Arabidopsis thaliana: one gene and its partners. The protein of the gene in region 4 purifies or fractionates together with the protein of the main gene of each other region. This does not show direct contact. Each region holds a gene or a part of one and is shown on either strand. Other genes may lie near its edges.

Region 1 (8,242 bases), 2.5 Mb from region 4:
TGAATTTGCTTAACACTCACGAAAAGAGCGAAATTTGGGTTTTACGGTTTTACCAATATTCCTGAAGGGTTACTTAACTAACACACCCTGAAGGTTATAAGTACCTAAAGTTGCAAATTTTCTGGGCAAAATGTTTTCTTTTAAACCTAGCAGATGTTGTAGTTCATCGATATGTTCCAAATCTAACTATATGATGCAAATCACACTGCCTATATGTAATTCAGCCACAACATCAGATCGACGTTAAAAAAAGAAGAGAACTCAATGCCTTAAAATACCAAATCTGATTAAGCATAATAAAGTATCAACCAACAGCGCCCACAAAAACCGACAGAATATAAAGAGTATCTCCTCAATGTTAAAGGGTCGACGAAAAACAAAAGAGGAACCAAACCCAGAGAAGAGTAAACAAAAGTTCGTTGGTTCTCCATCAAAAGCATATAAACTCAGCTATCGTGTGGACTGGACCATGTTCCATCAACAGAAGAACATGGAGGTTGAAACATTATTGTGCAGCTGCGGCATAGGTGGCACAGGGACTGCTCCAGGTGTGGTGATTCCTCCATGGCTCGAAGAAGTCTCAGACAACTCTTCATACTTCATCACAGTTCCCATCTGTGCAGCTGCCAAATGAGCGTAACATACAGGTGCAACTGCAAACAAACATAAAGAAACTTGAGAATTGAGATATTGCACATAATGTTGTAGCTATCAGCAGCAACGCATAAAAGATGTGAGACTAACCGACTGAGATCGCAGTGGTGCTCCTCTGGTAGCTACAAGAATCAAAGCAAACAATTTGAAGATTATTGTCAAAAGTGATATAATTCCACAAAGATACCTATCAGATTAAGAGTTAAAAGTGATATAATTCTTACACATAGGACAGAGAATGCACAAGTTCTTGGAGGTCGTCTGTGGCAAACCCAATCTCGTCATACAGAACATGGTAATGTGTTGGCCTTGTAGTTCCCTAACACATCCAAAATCAATATAGAAAACTGTTAAGTTGGATTTATATAGTAACTAAGTGGTCAAAGTATTTCTGCAGGAGCTATAACTTACAATCATGCCAGCATGGGCGCAGAGATAGAAATCAAAGTTGCGTGGGTGACAGATCTGGCTGTCAATGATTGTTCCTGCAGGCAAAAGCCAGGTTTCAGGTCATTTTAAACACAAAATAATGACCAACAGAAAATCATGCATTTGTCAAATGGATTTTACCTGGAGGAACATTATCAGGGCCTCGAGACTGGAAGAACTTTGTGTGGTGGTTCTTCTGGGCAACTATCACTGTAAACTTCGGATGCCACGTATCATCAAGAAACTTGCATGCCTAATAAAGTAACAAAAAAAGAGATCAGGCAGGCCCAAAGATATCCAAGATATACTAAATAAAACGTCTTTGTGTCACTAAAAGCTCTGAAGCTCTAGAACTATAATCCATACCTGCATCATCTGATCCAATTCAATATTAAGAACTTGATTGAACTGAGACTCGCTTACACCATCCCTACATGTATATTAGTAACAGTGAGTTAACAAATTGGAGTATATTATTTTACATGATACCTTAATAGATTTAAGTATACCTGAAAATAATGATGTGCTCTGGTTTCCTATTCTCTGAACTGTAGTAAAAGTCTAACAAGAGTTCCCTGTAAACAGTAGGAAATCTCTAATTACACTGATGCTGACATACCTTTTTGTACAAGTATAAAAGAATATTGTACCATTCACAAGGCCCTAAAATAGAATTAAGATGACAAAAACGCTGCCTATGAATTTTACCTGAACATTCCTTCGTCTTTGCCATTGACGGGTTTGAAGAGATTATCAATCATTTCCATTTTGCGTGATTGTGTGCGTACACATGCCTTATATTTTGAGATGAGTGGCCATTGTCTTGAGCTCACAACCTACGATTTCCAACAAACACCAAGTTACCAGAGTTGTTGCCAAGAATGAACACACAACACTAAATGAGATCACACGAAAAATTAACAAAACAAAATCAGTATTACAGCAGCAATTGATGGTATATCAGACTGGCCAGGGGAACCATGGGATACATCCATCCCAACAATGATGGTAGGAACTTGCGTTACTTTTGGCATTGCTGGTGAGCGCTCCATAGCTAACAACGAATTCAATCCACCAAGCTACATATACGAATTATAAATCATTTCAGCTGTAAGCTTGTAAGCTTGTAAAGTCTTTACAATCAGTCTTGAAATTCGAATTGAATGAATTTACAACCTCCAGCTACCTTGGCATTTATCTTCAGGAGAACATTGGTGAGATACTGATCGTTCAGTCTGGTGGGAGCAATGCACTGAGTCACAATTCCAAGATCAACAAGATTCTTTTTTTTCCAAGGGCCTAAAAAATTTCAGACACATGAAAAGTTAAACATTTACATTCAAGGGGGAAAACAGGCCATATTCAAGAATGTAAAGTGTGATGTGATGTACCATAAACATCAGAGTTTTTCCTTTCAGCGAGTATGCAAAGAAGGAACAGAGGCGGCTTTGGGAGTTTGGATTTTATCTGCTCAAACATATTCTCTACTCTCACAGTAGCTGGTGCATTCCTAAACTGAGGATTCTCGTTGATGACATCCTTGAATGGAGGCTCTACATTCTGGGATAAAAGGGAAAAACAAAAGGGACGAATTAAAAGGAGTTGTGCATATGATTCGTTTGTATAGTAACCAATGAACCTAAAGAAGGCTTACAATTCCTTTCTCCCGTCCACATTTAATCAAGTCACGAATAAGTGTATTTGTATCACAGCGAGCAGAGAAGTTCACAACAGCCCATCTAGTAACCGTCGTTGGCTCAGCGAGTGTCTGCATTAGAATTCAATCAGTACTAGTCGAGGTTACAATATTCAAACTAGGGCAAAAGATAGAAAATCTAAGCACCTTACGCATAAAGTTCCATTTTCCTTTGATTGGGGAAAGGTTTTCTCCCTTGCCCACTTTCAGCTGTAAACAAGGACAAAGATAATCAACAATAAAACATCCACAAGCAAAAAGGAAAAAATACAGCAAGGAAAGCAAGAGAATCAACGAAAGTCACCATTGGTGTTGGTAAGATACGGCCTTCAACTTGGGTAAAATTGGTGATAATGCTAACACCACTATCTTGCAATACCGGGTCGGCATTGTAATTGCTGTCCTTCAGACCCTGCAAGATAAATCAGAACATAAAACATAAGAAACAGAAAAAGCGTCAAGGATAATGGGAAGAAGAACTATGGAAACAAGAACTACTTTGGTTAGCGAGGCCATCCTTTCAGGTGGCTTCTGCCTAGACTTTTCAACTAGGGCAGCCCTCTGAAAATTGGTAAGCGATTTTGTGTATCGCTGTAGAGACACAAGATTACAGAACTGCAAACATGAAAACCAAAACGATTGTCATAATCCGTTACAAAAAAATATGTGGAAAACAGAAAAACAACAATTCATTTTATTTACCTCAATGGGGAAGTAAGTGGGACGCTTCGGCTTACCAACATTGATGCAAGGGAAGTCACCTGAATAACGCACTTCAATGTTACGCTCTTTATAGTAATTGAGCACTGTGATCTCAACCTCCTCAAATTCTCCCTTGTCGTTAGGTTTCCTCCATGTAAATCTATCAATCAAAGACCAATATCTTAGAATAAACTCAAAAGCATATAAACTTGTGATCAAAGAAATTTGACATACAGTTGATCTTTGCAGCTGTGTTCACTTAGTCCACTTATCTTGTATTCTCTATTGGAAAGAGTAATTTGAACTCTCAGATTCTTGAGGACACGTCGAGCCTGATGAGATAAAATCAGATAAAATACATCAGTGAAATAGTACAACATAAAAGAAAATGATGTACCTTGTTCCAGTCCATTCCGTATGGATCTTTCTTGTTCTGGTTAGCAAGCAGGAAATCAACTACAGGTCCAGGTTGTACTATCATCGTAGTTGAAGTGTCTGAAGAAATGCCAAAGCAAAAAAATCAAAGTTTAGCAGCCGAATGTCAAGGAAGAATCTAATACACATTAGATCTGGAAAAGAATTACCAATATTCAGGGATAAGCCTCCCTGAGTAGTTCTGAAACTTGAATGGAACCCTCTGCAACCACTGACACCTCCACCAATAGGTACAAAGTTCTTTACGTCATTGTGGAAAAAGGACTGGCGAACAAGGAGGCAACCTCTGCGAACAGATATGAGAACATGACATTAAAGATCAAGCAGAGAATTTATTTGAAATACAAATACCCAGAATATTTAACTTACTGCCTAGCTGCACTCTGGCGCAAAATAATATCCAGCACTCTCAGAGCGTCTTGAAGATTCTCTGTCTCCTTCCCTTGAAGAGCGCTTGCAATAGCCTGCATGGGGATCTTTGCAGCATAACTTATCTCAACCATGAATTTCTTAGTTTGGTTGGGACGCCTTGATCTTTTTCTATCAGCATCATTTGTATCATTTCCAGCGTGATTTCTGCAGATAAAGAGGATATCAAAGCATATTAGACTTTGAAGAAAAGGAAACAGTCGAGAAATTTCACAGGGAAAAAAAAATCAAAAGAAGTCATAATCACACCTGCTAGAAGGTATTTCTTCAAGAACAACAGAGAAGTCAAGTTTGTTGCTGGGAAGAGCACCAACAGTGAAGAGAGTCTTCTCGCCATCATAAGCAAAGTATTTGGCACCCAAATCACTTTGATAGGTCTCCTGAACTTTGTCAAGAATCTTTCGGCCGATACCTTTAGCCTCCACTGGACGGCCATCTTCATAATTGATAGCAACCTGTAGCAAATTTTAAAGAAACAAATCCATCATGTATCATAGAGATAAAACAGGAAACGCACTGATACAAATAGAGGATTATTAGAGGTCACAGTATACATACACTGTAATGAAAGAAGTAACCGCTTGGTTTGTTGAACTTGACTCCAAAGTGATTAGTAAGAAGAGGAATCTTCTGTCCTTTGGAGCCGCTGCCTCGAGGCCGAGCCATTGGGAGAAGAATGTTCTTTTTTACAGGCTCCACTTCAGGGACAAGATTTGCTGGAACGAAAGGTGGTGGAGGTGGTAATCCACTCCCATTCGGTTCATCAGAATCCATCTCTGGGATACAAATATCAGAAGGTCAGAAAAGAACAGCACCAAAATATAATCTGTTTAAAGCAATGGGAAAGCATAAACGCTACAAAGAAACCATTGTTGAAGCCAGATTTATCACAAATTTTTAGTATGAAAATAATTCTGACCCGAAAATCTAAGCCAGTAGAGCTGAGAACTATTAAATCACAGGACAAAGCAAACGTCACATAGAAAAACTCATGGAGTCAGGTGTCATCTTGATAAAAGCAAAGCGATCTTCACACAGTTACTTAAAACCATTAAATCACAGCATATAAAACATGATTCAGGAACAAACAGAAAGATGGCATAAACAAAAGCATTCACGCAAAAACACTGATCAACCCACACTTGAACAAGTACTAGAGATGAAATCTACAGATCTAAAGAACAGATTCGTCACCATCACAAACTAGACTCAGATTACTCAAAAGCAAACAAAATCATTCGCGTCATGCTTCAAAGCCGCATAAGGAAGATCTATGACAGAAAAAAAAAATGGTGAAGAAGAGATGTACGTGACATGATCATATATGACAAAAAAAAAATGGTCACCTAAAAAGCGAGAGGGAGAGAGAGAGAGAGAGATCTGTTGGATAAAGCGAATAAAAAAATGAAGGTAGAGACAAAGAACACAAAGCAGCAAAAGAAACCCAGAAGATTTTTCTCGGGAAAATGCAAACAAATTTTTTAGTAAAAAACACACGCCAACATTTATTTTTCCAGATTTCTTAACAGAGGTCAAAGAGAAGACCAAAAAAACAAAAAATCCAGAGTAGAAAAATAAACAGCGATTACTCAGAGGAAGAAGAAGACGAAAATCATGTAACAACGAACGCAGCTTCAAAGAGAAAAAAAACAGTGAGATTCAACATAAACAAACACTACCATGACCAAAAAATCCAGAGAAACTCATGAAACAACAAAAATCACTTGTTTAACACCAAACGACGACGACGAAAAATACAGATGAACACTAACAGCGCAGAAATCGCTAAAAAAAAGAGAAAAAAACCACCAAAATCGACGAAATGAACAGGAATCATGCATGAAAGCTTCAAAATCGAACATACATTGAACGATTTTTGAGTAAAAAACAAACCTAGTACTTATAGAAGAGACGAACGAGAAAAACCCTAAACAGAGCAGCGAGCGAGAGAGAAGAAGAGAGAGAGGGATTATGAGAGGAAGAAGAAAGGGTTTGTTTGTTTTGGTGATTCACTAAAATATAGGTGTGTCGCTTATAAAGAAAGCCGCAGACGCAAGACGCAAGAGGTTTTATAGGTAGGTCCCACTGTTTTCTTTCTTTTCTTAATTATTTTTTCGCTCCATATTCCTTTCTTTTCGTTTCAATGTCTTATCAATTTACTTCTCTCGTTACGTTTTTTTTATTATTGTTAGAGAATTTAGAAACAATTTGGATTTGGACAAAATAATGTTAGGTGATTCGATGTTATATGGAATCTTAAGAGTATATATAGAATCAAATCGTTTACAAGTAAATAGTATATGGAATTTCATTGTTTGGTGGATTACTAGTGCAAATATTCAGGTACTTAAACCGGTTATTCATCTTATTTGTTATGATCTGGTTCAAGTTAACACATCTATAAATTAGAATCTTGCAACAGTGAATGAGTTGTTGAATATACTAGTAACAAAAAAGCTCTTCTTCTCCACTTACTGTTTTCTACCTTTGGGATCATCTTTTTCTTCACCATTCCTATTTATGTCGTTCTTTATCAATTTTGGTGCTAAAGATGTTGTTCTTTATTATAGTATTAAATGACTGGTATATCTTTCTCCTCTTCCAGATAATTTTTTGTTCGAATTCTAACAGTTTTACAAAAACATTAGCGGAATTACTCTATGGTATAATATAGATTTGGAGGTAATAACTCTCTTAAATGAGTACCAGAACCATTGTGGATGATATCAGTTAAAACTTGAAAGTGTTAGTTTCATTTATGAATATCTTTAAGCCATGATGCATCGATGTGGCTACATGACCCAAGTCTATAAAACTGTATAACACATGCTATATGTTACAATAAACGAACTATGATATGCAATGATTATTAATTCTTGAATCAGATCCATATATTCAAATACACAAAAAGAGCTATATGAACAAATTAGTAACATGATATACTACTTAATTACGTACCTATCTTTGTATTAAGAGCAAATGTATATATCCTTTTTTTGCAACATATATGTATTACAAGTGTTCCAATAAACAATTGTGATTGTGGCAAAATGGTTTCACACATATATTATTATTAGGCATGCAGTGACAATCCTATATACATGGAAGTGAAAATGAAGAAAAATCGCAAGTTTAACGTCTTCAAATATCAACAACTTTGAAAAGAACTAAAGTATACTATAGGTTAAAAGAACTAATCACATTTTCACAATTGATAGATATAAATATCTCAGTTTGACCGTTTGACTAATTTTTTTTTTGTCATCACCTCAAATTTGATCACTGGTTTGAATTTTGAAATTAGTTATTGAAAAAGTGAAAAGATTACAAAACTATTTACCACAAAAGATAAAAGAAAACTGGTTGTACGTAATGTCTCTGTGTCCTGCAAATACCAAACGTATAAAAACAAAATAGTAAATGCTGCAGTTGTGTAGCATGAAATAACGAGGGCGAGTTTCTGAGATGTGCAGTGGATGTTTTTGTCATCTTGTATCCTTTTCTATTCCTATTCCTATGTTATTCTCTCGCTCCTTTAAATGTTTTGCAGGTCGTCGTTTTCATGTATATAATATTAACTTCTGCTTTTTCTCTTTTATTTTCTTTTTAAAATAACGTTATTATCCGTTTATAAAAGTTTCTTTACTCTTTATATACTCCTATTTCAACTCACTAGTCACAAAGACTACACCAAATTGTTCGTTATAAATTGAGTCAGTTGACAAAGCGGTCTAATTTGTCTGCGGTTTACTCCTTCTCATTTTTGGGGCAGATAATAAACCTCTGCGAACCAAGTTTATTTGTATGTAAAAACGGTCCGCAAATGATCCGCTGCGGTTTTCTTCTATTTTTTTTTGTCCCGACCACTGCGGACTATAATTGATGAATGGTAAATAA
Region 2 (3,533 bases), on a different chromosome or scaffold from region 4:
TGAGAAAAAGTCACAGCATTAATAATCAATACCAAAACTAAATTAAAATGAAGCAAACCACTCATGTTATAGTTATACATCATCGTAGATGATAAGATTTATTAGAAGCTAATCTCATTAAGATTATATCATCTCAAAAGACAAACAACAAAGTTATTAAATCATTTAAAAGTCCGATATAAGGTAACACTACATCACTTTCCCGATTTCTGATTTCTCGACAAACATCTTATTCATTCATCTCCAAAACCTCCTAATCTACCCTCTTAAAACGATGAAGCTATCGGGATGTACTTCCAAACTCATACCGAAGAAACTCATTTTCAGAAATTTGCGGAAATTTTTCATGAACAATTGTTTTTAATGTTTCTTGTTATGATGGGTAATTTAGCATGCATGTTGGCATGTATTTATGTCATGGCGGCTTTATATCTGCCTTTATGTTTGGTTCATACTCTAAGGTTTGTCAAGAGATGGTTATGTTATTTGGTTTCTTATCTTTTGTGTTCTTGGTGACCACCATGTTTGGATTATGGGGATTTATTTATGTCTATCAGTTATGATAGCCTTTGTAGCTCTGATTATTACAATGATCTTTCTTTACTGCCCGTAAAAGCGTATCTAGCTAGCATCAATGTAGAAAATGGATATGGAGATGAAAATTTGAATTTAGGGCTTAGCGAAGAGTCTCGTTTGCAGTTACTATGATTGTGTTTGCAATTAACAAGGTTTGATTTTTCTTTTTCCAATTCGCATTTTTTCAAACTAAAGATATTTGAATCGATATAGATATGTTTATGTTAAATTTTTTGGGTGTGATGGTCATGCTATGGTTGTTTATAAGATTTTTTCCTTTCGATGTTTTGCGGCTGTTGATTGTGTTTTCAGTTTTCACTTATGTGAAAAGGTAGATAGAGTTTTTCATTTATGTGAAAAACATTCCATTTAAAATACCTGAAAAAAAGATTTGGATTAACTTTTAATGCCATGCTAAAACACACCAAAAAACTAAATTATTGATATACAATGTTGTGGATTATATATTGTTCCCATGATTAAATATATATGTTCTAGTCAATAGTCATACATCATGCATATATAGTAGCCTAATGTAGCTAGTTTCTAGATTTTACTACTCTCCACTGAAGATAATTTGAACCATAAACTGGAGTATTAACACATATTGCTCAATATAGCCAAGCACAATTTTTTTACTTCTTGTTTATGCAAATACAACAAATTCTTTATATTTTAGCTGTCTCATATTATTAGTCAACAAATTCATTTTAAATCAGCTTGTAAGTTGTAATCAGGTTCAGTTTTACAGCAAAATATATTGTGTTAAACTGTTAGTGCAAGCCTACTAGTATATATATTCTATACTCTGTTTCTTCACAGATATGTTTAGTTAGTTTTTTCATAATTGTATAGACCACATTAATCAGATCTGCTTTGGATCAGGCTGATATTAAAATTTTAAGCCCAATAAAAGCCCATTTACAATACAGTGGAGCGGGAACGGAGATTTTAACACCGCGCTAAAACATAAACCAATATTGACACGTCATCGATCCCGCTTCATAAGTTTATAAACCGTCGATTAAAAACAATTTCAACGGTTGCGATCTCCCATCTCATCGATCCTCGTCAACATCTAATAACCAATCATATCAATTATTCTAACTACTATAAAATCAAAACTCGTCTTCATCAAATTAGATATCAAAATCACTCAGATCTGTGCTTCTTCTTCTTCACCCAGAAAAGTAAAACAAAAGTCAAAACAATGGCGCCGAGAGCAGAGAAGAAGCCCGCGGAGAAGAAACCAGCCGCCGAGAAACCAGTAGAGGAGAAATCAAAAGCCGAGAAAGCTCCGGCGGAGAAGAAACCAAAAGCCGGCAAGAAACTCCCGAAGGAAGCCGGGGCCGGCGGCGATAAGAAGAAGAAGATGAAGAAGAAGAGTGTGGAAACTTACAAGATCTACATCTTCAAGGTTCTGAAACAAGTTCATCCAGATATTGGTATTTCAAGCAAGGCTATGGGTATTATGAACAGTTTCATCAACGACATCTTCGAGAAATTGGCATCGGAATCTTCAAAGCTCGCTAGGTATAACAAGAAGCCGACGATTACTTCTCGGGAGATTCAGACTGCTGTTAGACTCGTTCTTCCTGGTGAGCTCGCTAAACACGCTGTTTCTGAAGGAACCAAGGCTGTTACCAAATTCACAAGCTCTTGAATTAGTAAATTAGGGTTTGTATACTCTGAATTTGATTCTGATGTTGTCATAACTTGTGTTAGGATTTCTCTTTCGTTTTATTAAGCTTTAATTATCATTCTCCGTTGTAAAGTAATCTTATGAATCTGTCTTCGAATCAAAAGTTCTGGTTGTTAATGGCTCAATGTTGTTCTCTTGTTTAATCAATGTAGAATCATGAGAATCATTAGATTAAGCATTCTTTAACTATGTTCATTAATAACCTCTGTCACACATTATATATAAACCTATGAAAGATGTTTGTTTGTGTGCCACTAAATAACTTAGTTCCAGATGTGAGCATCGCAAGGATCACAACCTTCTTGAGCAATGTCAGTGATTTGAACACCGGCGTCGTAAATTTTCCCAGCTTCCCAATTGGATGGAAGAACACTCTGTGACCAAATCATTTTACCGTCGTATCCACCGGTTACTACGAACCTGAACTGGATAGCTCCGGTGGGTACTTTGTCAGTTACCCAAACAGCTCCGTGGCTTCTTGTCATGTAACCCCAATTTGGCGATGAACCGACTTGAGCAATGTCGATGGATACTACTTCTGTTTGACCTCCTTGGTATAAAAGCTTTATCTCTAAGTAGTTTGGTTTCTTGCTTGCTTCTTCTACTCTCACGTTCATGTTCTTGTTGCCGTAATCGCAAGGAACTCTGTTTTTTTTTTTGATGACCAAGTTAATATCGTGTGATTAAGAAAACCAAAGAGTTTAGGTGTTTTGAGAATCGAACCTTTGGTATTCGATGTCGACAATGCCTTGTTTGAGAAGGTCTTTGTCAGCACCAACAATAGGTTTAGCCATAGCTCTAAAAGCTCTGCTACTAAGGACAAGATCGGTTTGGTTACTCTTGTTTAAGTCTGTGATCATCACAATGGTTCCTTTAGTGCTACACAGCTTAGGGTTCTTGCATCTGACTTGAAAGCAAGCTCCACAGCCAGCACCGTCTTTGTAGATAGAAGGGATAGCTGCAGCGATATGTCCGGCGAAGAAACTCGTAGCCATAGAGCCATAAGCACAAGCTCCAGCTGCAAAAAACACATAAACAAGACATGAGAAAAGAAACATACAGATAGTTAAAAAAGAAGTAGTTAAAATGTTTACAAGAGAGAGCAGAGGCAGAGGAGAAATAAGCTGCTTTAGAACGGTGAAGACATCGATCACAAGCGTTAACGGATGAAGAGAAGAGGAAGATGACTACGATGAGGAAGAGAAAGCTTCCCATTTTTTGTTTACTTGAAGAAGCAATAATATCTTTATGATCA
Region 3 (5,595 bases), 3.7 Mb from region 4:
TCCAGCATAAACATTGTGATAGTTGTTGAGATCCCAAGAACAAGACAAGGTGCAGCTGGTAGACGAACAACGCCACCGTTGGTCCAAACTTCCATACAGATCGAACATAATGATTCTTTATCCTCCTGCAATCCTGAAGACGATGATGAACAAACACTTTCTGATGACCTTCTTTGATACTCACTCTCGTTCTGTGAAACCCTAGGTGAGTCTACCACATCGATGTATTGGCTAATTTGGCGTTCTTCTTCCTCATCAGGTTCATCGAATACTTCCATTGTTATTCCGACATTACCACAGACGAAACGCCGTAGTCGCTGCATTAAGGCAAAACCCAAAACTTAGCTTCTTACAAAACAGAGCAATCTGTATATAAAGAGCAAAGCAGCTTAAAAAGTAAGCTCGATTAAAAGAAAACTAATACTTGCGTTTCCTTTTTTTCTTCAACATGAAAACCGCAAAAAAGGAAACTCTACATGAAAACCAATTAGTATTATGATTCTTGGTGTGATTTGGTTAATTCACAATCAGAGAAATACGAAGCGGAAGTTGGAAACCTTTGGAAGACAGCAAAAGTGGAAGGAACACAACAAGTTTATTAATTTTAACAAAATAGAGGGGAAATGCAGGCTGTGGGGTTCGAACCCACGCGCACTTATGTGCAGAAGAACTTAAGTCTTCCCCCTTAACCACTCGGGCAAACCTGCTTGTTATTATTTTTCTCTTCCTATTATATTTATATACGCAAACTGGTGTAGTAGCTGCATATTAACCACAAGCCCTAAAAATCCTTAATTTCGGGTCCATTAGATTATGTTACAAAGTGACATGCTAACTAATCTTCAATCAATGTATGTTTTGGACAGAGAATTTCAAATGTAGATTTTCACTAGAAAAGTCTACAAAAAGACTTAATATCCATACCACTAAACACAAACAAAGGTTTAGCACAGTTTCAGCTACCAAAACGATAAAGTTAAACAGGAAGAAATGCCTGAAAAAAAAGACCAACTAAAACTGGCTCACTCGCAAGTTCCAGATTTAAGTACCAAAAGACATCAAAGTTCTAGAGTAGATATTATAGAGAGTAGTCATCATGCTGCTTCTTCTTCTCAAGCAGCTGCACTGTGTTTGGCCTTTGTGTGAGACTGCAATCCCATTTCCGAAGTAAAGGTTCTGGTGCACGACTTGCACCCAAACGCTCCTGCAGACTTCGGTGTCTGCTGCTGCTTCGATGTCTCTCCAGTGCTGCCTCCACCAGAATTCTTACCCGCCTGTTTTGAGGGATGAGGAGTTGCAACATGGACATGCGGTTTCTTCGAATCTGCTTTGTCCGAATGTTTTTTAATTAAACAAATCAATCTTCCTTTCTATCGTTAAAATAAGTATTCAATGGGGAGATTGGTAAAAAGGATTTAATCACCTGTTTTCTGAGGAGTTACAAACTTAGCCTTCTTGTTGGACGCAGGGTTCTTGGAGGAGTTGGGTTCTGCAGACCTCTTCTTGGGTTCTTCAGGCTTTTATAAACCAAGAAAACTTAGAATCAGATTCGAGCTTGACCACAGAAGCAGAGAAATTGCTCCCAAAGGAAGATAAGATAGAACAAATATAGGTTTCCCATCAACAAGCACATAAAAGAGACTGTCATGTTACCTTCTTTGGGGTTTCCTCTTCTGAGGAGTCATCTTCTTCGTCGTCTGATGAGTCATCTTCCTCACTGTCAGATTCAGCAGTAACCTTCTCTTCCTGAAACAAAGCAGCCATGATAAGGATTAAAGAAATGTGAGAATGGGCTAAAACACAATAGGTAATCAAGGGTTCATGTGAAAATGCAAATATAGAAGTTACAAACATACTTAAGATAACTCTAGTACCACTGTCTATAGGTTTAATCAACATGTCACTGAGCCTAAGTAAAATTCTATAACAAATTGAGCTAGTATATATAGATAAAAGTACCTCCTCGTCTCCAGAGTTTTCACTATCATCATCATCTGAAGAATCTTCTTCACTACCGTCAGCGTCATCATCTTGCTTGGCTTTGACATCTTCATTTGGCAACTGAAAGTTCACCTGTTTCGCAGCAGATTTCGGAGCAGCTGGCTCAACCAAGGCCAAATAAATTTATAAGAGATTGATGTTCTTAAATAAACTAAAATAAGACAACTGGAGACAAATCATTGCAGGACTGGATATAAAAGTCCCCATTTACCTTTGAAACCAGCAGCCTCAAGTTGATCATCAATCAAATCCTCAGGCTCGGTGAGATAGAGTCAAGGAAGTCAAAAACAGAGTAAAGCAACAAGTCCCCAAAACATTTTCATCAACAAAGCTTAAAGCGATAACAACAAAAATGTTCAAATAGTAAAGGATATGGATCAGATGCATCAACTTTGTAACCAGAGAAGAAAACGCTCCCATTCTTCCAAGTATGAGACAGCGCAAAGTTCCTTTCCAAGACAATCTCCGTAGACAGCTGAGGAAACTTCTCATGAGATAGCGTTCCAATGAGAAGCTTATCCGATCCAACAGTCACGTAAAGCTGGATTGGTTCGGTTACATTGTTCTTACTCTCTCCCAAAGCAACCTTCAACAAAAATAAACCAAACGTCACTGTAAAATACATTCTTATAAATCAAATTAAGCTTGCAAATTCAAAAGTACCTGAGAGATGTGCACGAGCCTGTCTAGCCCAGGATCTAGGTGAAGTGGTTTGCCATTCTTAACTTCAACACCTGCAAACGCATAGAAAGCATACAAATCAGTAATTCTGCAACAAAATCCCCAAATGAAACCTCTATCGGAGTTAAAACCTAGCGAGAGAGAAAACTTTTCAGTTTTCCCCAATTTTCTACGAAGACGAACAGTCCATACCCTAGATTGTCACATATACTCACTATTCCCGTTTCTCGTTTAGCTAAACAGAAGATTCCATAGAAAAAACAGTAGAAAAACATGGCAAAACGAAAAAAAGCGATGAAACCAGAAGCTAAAAAAAAACTAAATGCAGGAAATGAAGCGCAGAGAACGAAGAAGAAGAAGGAGTAAGATAGGAGATGTTTTTTACCCCAGAACTCCATTGTTGTGCGAGGTAGTGTGATCTTGAAGGCGACGATGCGTCGAAGGAGAAGGAGAAGGTTCTAGAAGAAGCTGAGAGCGATTCGTCTCTCGAGAGCGGTTTTAGGGCGTGTTGATGTGAGAAGGCTAAAATGTCCGCTGGAATTTATTAATCGGAGGAAGGGATTTTAGGGATCCTCTGTTACGCGGTCCACTCGAATATCTCCTTTAGTTGGGCCATGATTTTAAAATTAGCCCAACAAAACTAACGTTTCAAGCCCATACTTTATTTTGACGGCTTTTTTTAACGGTGTCAGGACGGATCGTAACGGACTTTTAACACTTTATTTGACTGACGGAGTTTTCGTCAACATGTGGGGTCTATATATTCATGTCTTCATGACAATATCTATCTCCATTCCTCAAAATAAGTCCCACGGATAAATTGAGCATAATGTATCGCAAAGTTTTAATTTTTTTCTAATCCAAAGAAAAACCAGTTAACAAAATCTGTGAAGAGTTTATATGATAAAACTAAGTACGGTCCCCGACTACGAATAATTAAAATTATTAAATGGATAGTTGCACGAGTGAGAATTAAGGAACACTATTATTATATTAAACACAATTCATTTTAGTTAGATCTATTCGGGGCCTCTCGTGTTTAGATTTAGAAGAGTTCTCGGCATGAATCATGAACATTTTCCAATGCTCTTAAATTTATAGTTTACCAATATTATACTCCGGTTTTACATATCACACATAATTTCGATTTTTTTCAACATATGTGATCATAATCAATTGTTAAGTTTTAATTTATGCGCATAAAAAAATATATGTTTGTATAGTAGTTAAGGAGAATTTTTTTTTGTTATGTTTTAGCACTTTTTGGATTAATACTAGTTTTAAAAGTATGATTTTTTTTTTATTTTTTTTTGTGCACAAATATGATCAAACCCAAAAGTTTCTTTACATAGTAGCAACTTTATATTCTCAGCAGCCATGGCTAAAAAACGTAAGTTAATGACAAAAATGCGTTGAGTGCAATGAACCTGGCAGTATTCGATGAACCTTAGCGGATCAAATGATATAAATATGCAATAGAATTTAAATATTTATTTATTGTCCAAGCTGCGTGGATAGCTTGATAGATAAATTAATGACAGCACATTGACTACCCAAGCTGCGTTGATAAGTACTTGATCAAAATCTTTACATTTTTATGAAGTACTATAATCCAAAGTTAACTTTTAAGCAAAAGATAATTTTTTGTAATGGTTGTGAAAAATTCACTTATAATAACACGAAACATAATGAAGTATTATTAGTTCATTTATATATAATACACAAAAAACATAAAGGCAATAAAAATAACCAAATTAAAAAAAAATGGAGAAGTAGAAAAGAAAACGAAAAAAAAAAAAAAAGAGAGAGATAAGATGCATGCATGGTATAGAAGTCGCAGGCCGAAGACCAGAAATACGAATGTGTTTGAATAGACAAATTAAGGAATATAAAGACAGAAGAGCCCATCCATTTTCGCATACACGAATACATCCCCCTCGACTCCAATTATTTTATTATAGTCCATTCTCTCACTTTCTATTCTAAATATTGTGGACGTTATAAAGGCTTTTTATTTATTTTATGTCGAGTTTTTTAGACTACGTAGAGCCGAATGAAAATTTCATGTTTAGGTATACGAAACTTGGATCCAATGTTACGGATTCAGATTGGTGTAAAAGATCAAATTTGATAGTATTTGGATTTGATAGGCAAGATGGTTTAGTATTTTACACTGTGTATGTTCCTCTTTTAGCTTTGCGTTTTCTACTTTCACTACGATACTACTTTTTATCTTCCAATTTCAGTTGCTTATCACCAAAATATGAAATACCAAATTAATTGTTTAAACAGTTTTATTAGCGATTAAATTAGCACAAAACATATGAATAGATATCATAGTCGAATACAAAAATTAGACAAATAATAATACACTAAAAAACAAACTAAATTGGAGAATTGTTTTGACAAAAAATAAAAAAAATGTCAAAGTTCCATAAAAAGGAGGACAAAAGAGGAATATAACGAAATTATCAACAGAAACGCACCGAGTAAGTTTATTTCCTATGATAACGCAAAAACAAAAAAAAAATCCAATTCCATTAGAGAGAGAGAGAGAGAGAGAGAGAGAGAGAGACTTTTTTAAAAAGTACAAAAAAAAAATGAAAAACTAGAGAGAGAAACAAGTGGCTAGCTAGCTCGCCAAACTTCTTCAACAATGGCGGTTTCCTAGGGTTTGATGTTTATATGATCGGGAAACTCTCTCATCTAGATCGCGATAACTCTCTTTTCCATGGAAATGCCCGGTAGAAGATCTAATTACACTTTGCTTAGTCAATTTTCTGACGATCAGGTGTCAGTTTCCGTCACCGGAGCTCCTCCGCCTCACTATGATTCCTTGTCGAGCGAAAACAGGAGCAACCATAACAGCGGGAACACCGGGAAAGCTAAGGCGGAGAGAGGCGGATTTGATTG
Region 4 (6,801 bases):
TACTAAGTAGCCGGTGCATTGACTCAATGTAGATAATTTTGTTACTTGTATATATGCAGGCCAAGTGTTTAGAAACGGGGGAAACTGTTGCAATCAAGAAAGTTTTGCAAGACAAGAGATACAAGAATCGGGAGCTGCAGACAATGCGTCTTCTTGATCACCCTAATGTTGTATCCCTCAAGCATTGTTTTTTCTCAACGACTGAAAAAGATGAGCTCTATCTCAATCTGGTCCTTGAATACGTTCCTGAGACTGTCTATCGCGTCTCAAAGCACTATAGTCGGGCAAACCAGAGGATGCCCATTATATATGTTAAACTCTATACTTATCAGGTAGTTATTATTCAGCCCACCAGAACATCTGTTCTCATCTTTTGAAATACAATGAGTTAATCAACATTGTTTCCATGATTTCTTCCTTCTGTTGTGGGTGCAGATTTGCAGAGCTTTGGCTTATATTCATGGTGGAGTAGGAGTCTGCCACAGAGACATAAAACCACAGAATCTTCTGGTTCGTATCCTTAGTTGATTTTATTCATAACATTTTATTGGTCTACATGCTTCTGCTTGATCAATCTTGTGCTTCTCGTAGGTTAATCCTCATACGCATCAGGTCAAACTATGCGATTTTGGTAGCGCAAAAGTTCTGGTATAGCATTTGTAAAGAGACATGTTGATTTGTTTTCATATTGAAAAGTTTGCACTTTTTATGGTGCTATGCAATGTTAACTAGTCCTAACTATTTTAGCTTTGCCCCTCTGTAACAGGTTAAAGGCGAGCCAAACATCTCATACATCTGCTCCCGTTACTATCGAGCACCTGAACTTATATTTGGAGCTACAGAATATACAACAACAATTGACATATGGTCTGCAGGCTGTGTTCTTGCTGAATTGCTTCTGGGACAGGTAATATGACTGTCCAAACTTTCCTCCATTTATCTTTTACAAATGATTTGATTTACCGAATGATGTCTAAAGTTATATATTACCAATCTTTGGCTTGTCCAACTTTTGGTTAGCCTCTATTTCCAGGTGAGAGTGGAGTTGACCAGCTAGTTGAGATAATAAAGGTACTTCAATTTGGTTAAACAAACACACATAATCCTAGCCATTGCTATATTGAACATAGAGTGGATCATTGATTATATGGAATGAAGAGGCTCCATTTCCTGCTATTGATTGCCATCATTTTGTTTACTGTGTGTGTTACAGGTTCTTGGAACACCAACACGGGAGGAAATCAAATGCATGAATCCAAACTACACAGAATTCAAATTCCCGCAAATAAAGGCTCATCCTTGGCACAAAGTAAGCAAACACATCATCAGTTTTTCCTTAACATTGATCTCCATATATTCTTACGATTGAAAAATCTGTTGTTGGTTCTTAAGATATTCCATAAGCGTACACCTCCAGAAGCTGTAGACCTTGTCTCAAGACTTCTCCAGTATTCTCCAAACCTCAGATCAACCGCTGTAAGTCAATGAAGTGATTACCATAATAACATTATGTTTGATATATCTGGTTGGTTGATTCAAACTTACTTGTTATTGTAGATGGAGGCGATAGTTCACCCGTTCTTCGATGAGCTACGTGATCCCAATACACGTCTTCCTAATGGTCGTGCCTTGCCTCCTCTCTTCAACTTTAAACCTCAAGGTCTGTCTCCTCCAAATATGCTTTTGTTTGTTTCCCAATGCTCCGTTTTAACAAAGACTAAAAGTGTGTGCTTCTTGTTAAATATGTAGAGCTAAAAGGAGCAAGTTTAGAGTTGTTGTCCAAGCTTATACCTGACCACGCCCGAAAACAATGTTCCTTCCTCGCTCTCTAAATCTCTTCCTCTCTCTCTATATATATGTGTGTGTGTGTGTATGTACACATGCATATAATATGCTTATCGTTTCTAAGTAATGGAGATAGCTTCTCAGGATTATCATTAGCTTTCATCTTTCATGTATCTTTGTTGTTTATTGTCTTATCACAACCTTTGTACTTTATTACATACAATGATTAGTGTAATGTATGTGACGGTCTTTGACTCGCCGGTCGCTACAGTTATGTTGGATACTAAATTATAAAATAAACTTCTCGCTCGTCACGTGTCATTGCATGCATCCAAAGCTCATGCTTCAAAGCTTAGCCAAACTTATTTTTAAAAAAGCCTATGTTCTGTGTAAAAGTGTCATTTACGAGAGTTTCTTGTTTAAGTTTAACCAATTTCACTTCCTCAAACGAAATACGGTAATTGGTAATATCCTCTAAACATGAATTATCATTGACTATAAAAATTAGTTTCGCAAATTGCCTCTAAGCACCACAAGTGTCACGTAACGTGTCATTTATTCATGTTTATTGATTTAGTTAATTAAAAACATTGTAGTTTAATTATTGAAGTAGTACAAAGAATAGGGACTAAATTGCAATACTCTGAATTTGTTTTTTTCTTTTTTAGAATCATCCGACTTTTTGTTTCACGGTTTCCTCCTCCAGTAAACTGACGACGATACAAGCTCTCTCACCAACGGCGACAGTATCTTTGCCGGCGGCGGGAGCGCTTCTGCTTAATCTGTAGCTCAAACTAAAAATTCTCTGGGTATTACTCATGGTGATTTGGAATAACGATGATGATGATTTTTTGGAGATTGATAACTTTCAATCTTCTCCACGGTCATCTCCAATACATGCAATGCAGTGTAGGGTCGAAAATCTAGCTGGTGTAGCCGTGGTAAGTGATCCAATCCAACAGTCATAAGTTTATGCCTAAGCAGAATCATTGCTTATGTGAATTTTTGTTTTGTTTCAGACAACTAGTTCTTTGAGCTCTCCTACTGAGACAACTGATTTAGTTCAGATGGGCTTCTCAGACGAGGTTTTTGCTACATTGTTTGACATGGGATTTCCTGTTGAGATGATTTCTAGAGCGATCAAGGAAACTGGTGAGGCTTTTTTCTCTTGTTTGTATTCCTTTCTGGATATATATGATCCGTAACTTGATACCAATAATTATACAGGACCAAATGTAGAAACTTCGGTTATAATTGATACTATCTCCAAATACTCAGTGAGTTTCTAATACTTTGATCTCTTGGGTTGCTTGTCATTTACATGTGCTTCTGTCATCACAGTATTCATATCCTCTCCTTTGTTTATTTGTGAAGAGCGACTGTGAAGCTGGTTCTTCCAAGTCCAAGGCTATTGATCATTTCCTTGCTATGGGATTTGATGAAGAAAAAGTTGTCAAAGCCATTCAAGAACATGGTACTTACAGATTTCTCTCCTCCTTAAGTAAGAAGTAACACTTTATCACTTTGCTGATATTTGCTTTATAAATCGCAGGAGAAGACAATATGGAAGCAATTGCAAATGCATTGCTCTCTTGTCCAGTAAGCGATGTTACGAAAATATACTGTCTCTTGACATTAAAAAAATAGTACTTAAAGTTCGTTGATGGTTTGTAGGAGGCTAAGAAACTGCCAGCAGCAGTAGAGGAAGAAGATGGCATTGACTGGTCATCAAGTGATGATGATACCAATTACACCGATATGTTAAACTCAGATGATGAGGTATAACTCTTTCATGTTGGTGATAACATATTTAAGCATCCCAGGTTTGAATTGTAAATGTATCTCACTGCTATTTTGTATATGTATCTAATTTTATGCGTTCTTAATCTATTTTAAATCATGACAGAAAGATCCAAACTCAAATGAAAATGGCAGCAAAATACGGTCTTTGGTGAAGATGGGTTTCTCAGAGCTTGAAGCTTCTTTAGCTGTCGAGAGATGTGGTAACTTTATTTTAAACGATTGCCATTGTCATTAAATTTTAGTTCCGTTTTGTTCAGGTTTCTTCTAGACAACGTCGTATAAATTGCTTGGTTTAGCCTCTGATTTAGTGGTGTAGGCCTTAGATGTGTTTGCTGAGCATTTTGATTGTATTTCACTAATCGAAAGTTGTCATTAGTTCTGTCTTAGCTTCTGGTTCTGTGATGTACGCCTTAGATATGTTTGTAGAGAATGTGATCGTATTTCACAAAATGATAAAAGTTGTCAGTACTTGATAAAATTGTATGTTCACTAGTTCCTTTTTATTCAGGTTTCTTCTAGAGGAAGTGGCATAAGCCAAATTGCTTAGTTTTAGTGTAATGTGATAGTCAAATTGTGGCTTTAGCCTCTGGTTCTGTGATTTAGGCTTGAAATGTGTTTGCTGAGCATTGTGATTGTATTTCACTAAATGATACAGTTGTCAGATGTTAATATATATCTCTTACTTACTCTAAGTATGTTGCTGCCTTATCCAGACTCATATGATTGTAATTTCAGGAGAAAATGTGGATATTGCAGAGCTCACAGACTTCCTTTGTGCTGCTCAAATGGCTAGGGAATTTAGTGAGTTTTACACTGAACATGAAGAACAAAAGGTACTGTTAAAACCTTTTTTATAATCTATCTTTTGTAAGTTAATTCCTTTGGGAACTGATTATTTTGGGAAATTTGGTGTATGCAGCCTAGACATAATATTAAGAAAAGGCGGTTTGAGTCAAAAGGAGAGCCAAGATCATCTGTTGATGACGAGCCGATTCGTCTACCAAATCCAATGATAGGATTTGGGGTTCCAAACGAGCCCGGACTCATTACACATAGATCGCTTCCAGAGTTAGCCCGAGGGCCACCTTTTTTCTACTATGAGAATGTCGCCCTCACACCTAAAGGCGTTTGGGAGACTATTTCCAGGCACTTGTTCGAGATCCCACCTGAGTTTGTGGACTCAAAATATTTCTGTGTTGCAGCGAGGAAGAGAGGCTACATCCACAATCTCCCCATCAACAACAGATTTCAGATTCAGCCTCCACCAAAATACACCATCCATGATGCATTTCCTTTGAGTAAGAGATGGTGGCCAGAATGGGATAAAAGGACCAAGCTTAATTGCATTTTGACTTGTACAGGTAGTGCTCAGTTGACTAACAGGATTCGTGTAGCCCTTGAGCCTTACAATGAAGAACCAGAACCGCCTAAGCATGTACAAAGATATGTGATTGACCAGTGCAAAAAATGGAATTTGGTTTGGGTGGGTAAAAACAAAGCTGCCCCACTCGAGCCAGATGAGATGGAGAGTATTCTGGGATTTCCAAAAAATCATACTCGTGGTGGAGGCATGAGTAGAACTGAGCGCTTCAAGTCCTTAGGAAATTCGTTTCAGGTAATTTTACATATCATATGCGTAATAATACTCTTTGTAGTTAAAGTCTTTTGCGTATTTGATTCATTGGTGGGTGGCTTGAATACCTTGGTTTAATGGTTGGTTGAACTTGTTTTAGGTTGATACTGTGGCGTATCATCTGTCTGTCCTGAAGCCCATTTTCCCACATGGAATCAATGTTCTCTCTCTTTTCACGGGTATTGGTGGTGGGGAAGTGGCACTTCATCGTCTCCAAATCAAAATGAAGCTTGTTGTGTCTGTTGAGATTTCAAAAGTCAACAGAAATATTTTGAAGGACTTTTGGGAGCAAACTAACCAGACTGGAGAATTGATCGAGTTTTCAGACATCCAACACTTGACTAATGACACAATCGAAGGGTTGATGGAGAAATATGGTGGATTTGATCTTGTAATTGGAGGAAGTCCTTGTAACAATCTGGCAGGCGGTAATAGGGTAAGCCGAGTTGGTCTTGAAGGTGATCAATCTTCGTTGTTCTTTGAGTATTGCCGTATTCTAGAGGTGGTACGTGCGAGGATGAGAGGATCTTGATCATTCACATTACCTGAAGTAGATTGAAGTAGATATGACTCCATGAAATCTAGTTGAACTTTATTTTTCTATATCTGTTATGTAATATGGCCATGAAGGTACATTTTTGAATAATATAAGTCAACCTAACTCTCTTTTGCTTTTTGCGACAATATATCTGCAACTGCATTTGCACTTTTCTCTTCCCTGCCTTAACACTGATGTTCAGTAATGTATTCAACCAGACAAATGTGTCATCATATAATCTTTGATCCTTCCTTCATGCGAAGGGTTAATGGAGAAATATGTTTGGGGTATTTGTATAGACACTTTGGTTAAGGAGTCAATTAAGAGTAGTCAGTGACTTGTAAGCTGAAACTGCAGTACTTTTTTTTTGATATACTGATATTGCAGTTCTTAATAACGAAACAAACTTGTTTACTTCAAAATATCAAAAAGTCATTCCTATTTAGAGGTCTAAAACATTTATCAGCTGAGAAACATCCACTACTTAAACACCAACACAGAAAGAACCCATAAACGAGTCTTTATTTTCCATAATATAAACAGAAAAAGGTTTCTCGTAGACCAAAACATTAGAGTATCCTTCAGGTGTGTATGATTTTAAAAAGTACTAGCAGCTTCGGTCCACACACCACAAAATGAATAATTTACCCCAAGAGAAAGAGGCTCTTCTATATGTATATTGCCCCAATCTGGTTTAGATTCCAATGACTTATCTATTTTTCATCATCATCGCCTCATGAAAGCTGCGAGGCGGAGATGAAGTGGACGGTGGACCTCCTCTGAATCTCTCAGGACTACGGCTTCTCTCTCTTCCCCATCCTGAGCTGCCACTGCTTCAACCACCAAAAACCGATTTAAAGTTAATAATGAGAAAAAGAATCAAGAGATCTAGCTGAGTCGTTTATCTTTAATTTACCTGTCACGTGAAGGAGCCCAGCTTCCTCTACCACCAGAATCACCACGACCACCATAACCAGAATCACCACGACTACCATAGCCAGACTCACCACGACCACCATAACCAGAATCACCATAGCCACCA

Evidence for each region.
Region 1: the proteins of DRM2 (region 4) and AGO9 purify together in Arabidopsis thaliana (affinity purification with mass spectrometry, with the first as the bait; one study listed by BioGRID). This does not show direct contact.
Region 2: the proteins of DRM2 (region 4) and HTB9 purify together in Arabidopsis thaliana (affinity purification with mass spectrometry, with the first as the bait; one study listed by BioGRID). This does not show direct contact.
Region 3: the proteins of DRM2 (region 4) and HD2C purify together in Arabidopsis thaliana (affinity purification with mass spectrometry, with the first as the bait; one study listed by BioGRID). This does not show direct contact.

The regions. Positions count from the first base shown.
Region 1 is NC_003076.8:7,190,349-7,198,590, reverse strand, and holds AGO9 (Argonaute family protein), read right to left. Parts: upstream 6,353-8,242; 5' UTR 6,239-6,352; intron 5,122-6,238; 5' UTR 5,120-5,121; coding exon 4,904-5,119; intron 4,801-4,903; coding exon 4,595-4,800; intron 4,493-4,594; coding exon 4,286-4,492; intron 4,203-4,285; coding exon 4,066-4,202; intron 3,977-4,065; coding exon 3,879-3,976; intron 3,814-3,878; coding exon 3,716-3,813; intron 3,642-3,715; coding exon 3,482-3,641; intron 3,395-3,481; coding exon 3,278-3,394; intron 3,192-3,277; coding exon 3,084-3,191; intron 2,990-3,083; coding exon 2,927-2,989; intron 2,852-2,926; coding exon 2,738-2,851; intron 2,644-2,737; coding exon 2,475-2,643; intron 2,383-2,474; coding exon 2,270-2,382; intron 2,163-2,269; coding exon 2,025-2,162; intron 1,920-2,024; coding exon 1,792-1,919; intron 1,659-1,791; coding exon 1,593-1,658; intron 1,514-1,592; coding exon 1,450-1,513; intron 1,337-1,449; coding exon 1,225-1,336; intron 1,140-1,224; and 9 more. UniProt on the Arabidopsis thaliana protein: Involved in RNA-mediated post-transcriptional gene silencing (PTGS). Main component of the RNA-induced silencing complex (RISC) that binds to a short guide RNA such as a microRNA (miRNA) or small interfering RNA (siRNA).
Region 2 is NC_003074.8:16,896,198-16,899,730, reverse strand, and holds HTB9 (Histone superfamily protein), read left to right. Parts: upstream 1-1,717; 5' UTR 1,718-1,786; coding exon 1,787-2,239; 3' UTR 2,240-2,444; downstream 2,445-3,533. Other genes in the region: EXLA1 (expansin-like A1), read right to left, coding at 2,542-2,923, 3,002-3,296, 3,373-3,493. UniProt on the Arabidopsis thaliana protein: Core component of nucleosome. Nucleosomes wrap and compact DNA into chromatin, limiting DNA accessibility to the cellular machineries which require DNA as a template.
Region 3 is NC_003076.8:979,479-985,073, reverse strand, and holds HD2C (histone deacetylase 2C), read right to left. Parts: upstream 3,216-5,595; 5' UTR 3,081-3,215; coding exon 3,068-3,080; intron 2,736-3,067; coding exon 2,665-2,735; intron 2,588-2,664; coding exon 2,376-2,587; intron 2,263-2,375; coding exon 2,213-2,262; intron 2,100-2,212; coding exon 1,960-2,099; intron 1,747-1,959; coding exon 1,654-1,746; intron 1,518-1,653; coding exon 1,424-1,517; intron 1,325-1,423; coding exon 1,113-1,324; 3' UTR 785-1,112; downstream 1-784. Other genes in the region: AT5G03750 (E3 ubiquitin-protein ligase), read right to left, coding at 1-55, 169-278; CTR1 (Protein kinase superfamily protein), read left to right, coding at 5,414-5,595. UniProt on the Arabidopsis thaliana protein: Probably mediates the deacetylation of lysine residues on the N-terminal part of the core histones (H2A, H2B, H3 and H4).
Region 4 is NC_003076.8:4,714,381-4,721,181, reverse strand, and holds DRM2 (domains rearranged methyltransferase 2), read left to right. Parts: upstream 1-2,477; 5' UTR 2,478-2,603; coding exon 2,604-2,726; intron 2,727-2,804; coding exon 2,805-2,937; intron 2,938-3,012; coding exon 3,013-3,062; intron 3,063-3,159; coding exon 3,160-3,259; intron 3,260-3,337; coding exon 3,338-3,384; intron 3,385-3,459; coding exon 3,460-3,564; intron 3,565-3,691; coding exon 3,692-3,788; intron 3,789-4,323; coding exon 4,324-4,421; intron 4,422-4,507; coding exon 4,508-5,203; intron 5,204-5,321; coding exon 5,322-5,753; 3' UTR 5,754-6,077; downstream 6,078-6,801. Other genes in the region: SK13 (shaggy-like kinase 13), read left to right, coding at 60-332, 436-510, 592-648, 767-907, 1,021-1,071, 1,214-1,309, 1,393-1,476, 1,558-1,660 and 1 more; AT5G14610 (DEAD box RNA helicase family protein), read right to left, coding at 6,469-6,589, 6,676-6,801. UniProt on the Arabidopsis thaliana protein: Involved in de novo DNA methylation. Controls asymmetric and CpNpG methylation. Required for FWA gene silencing but not for the maintenance of SUP gene silencing. Functionally redundant to CMT3 to maintain non-CpG methylation.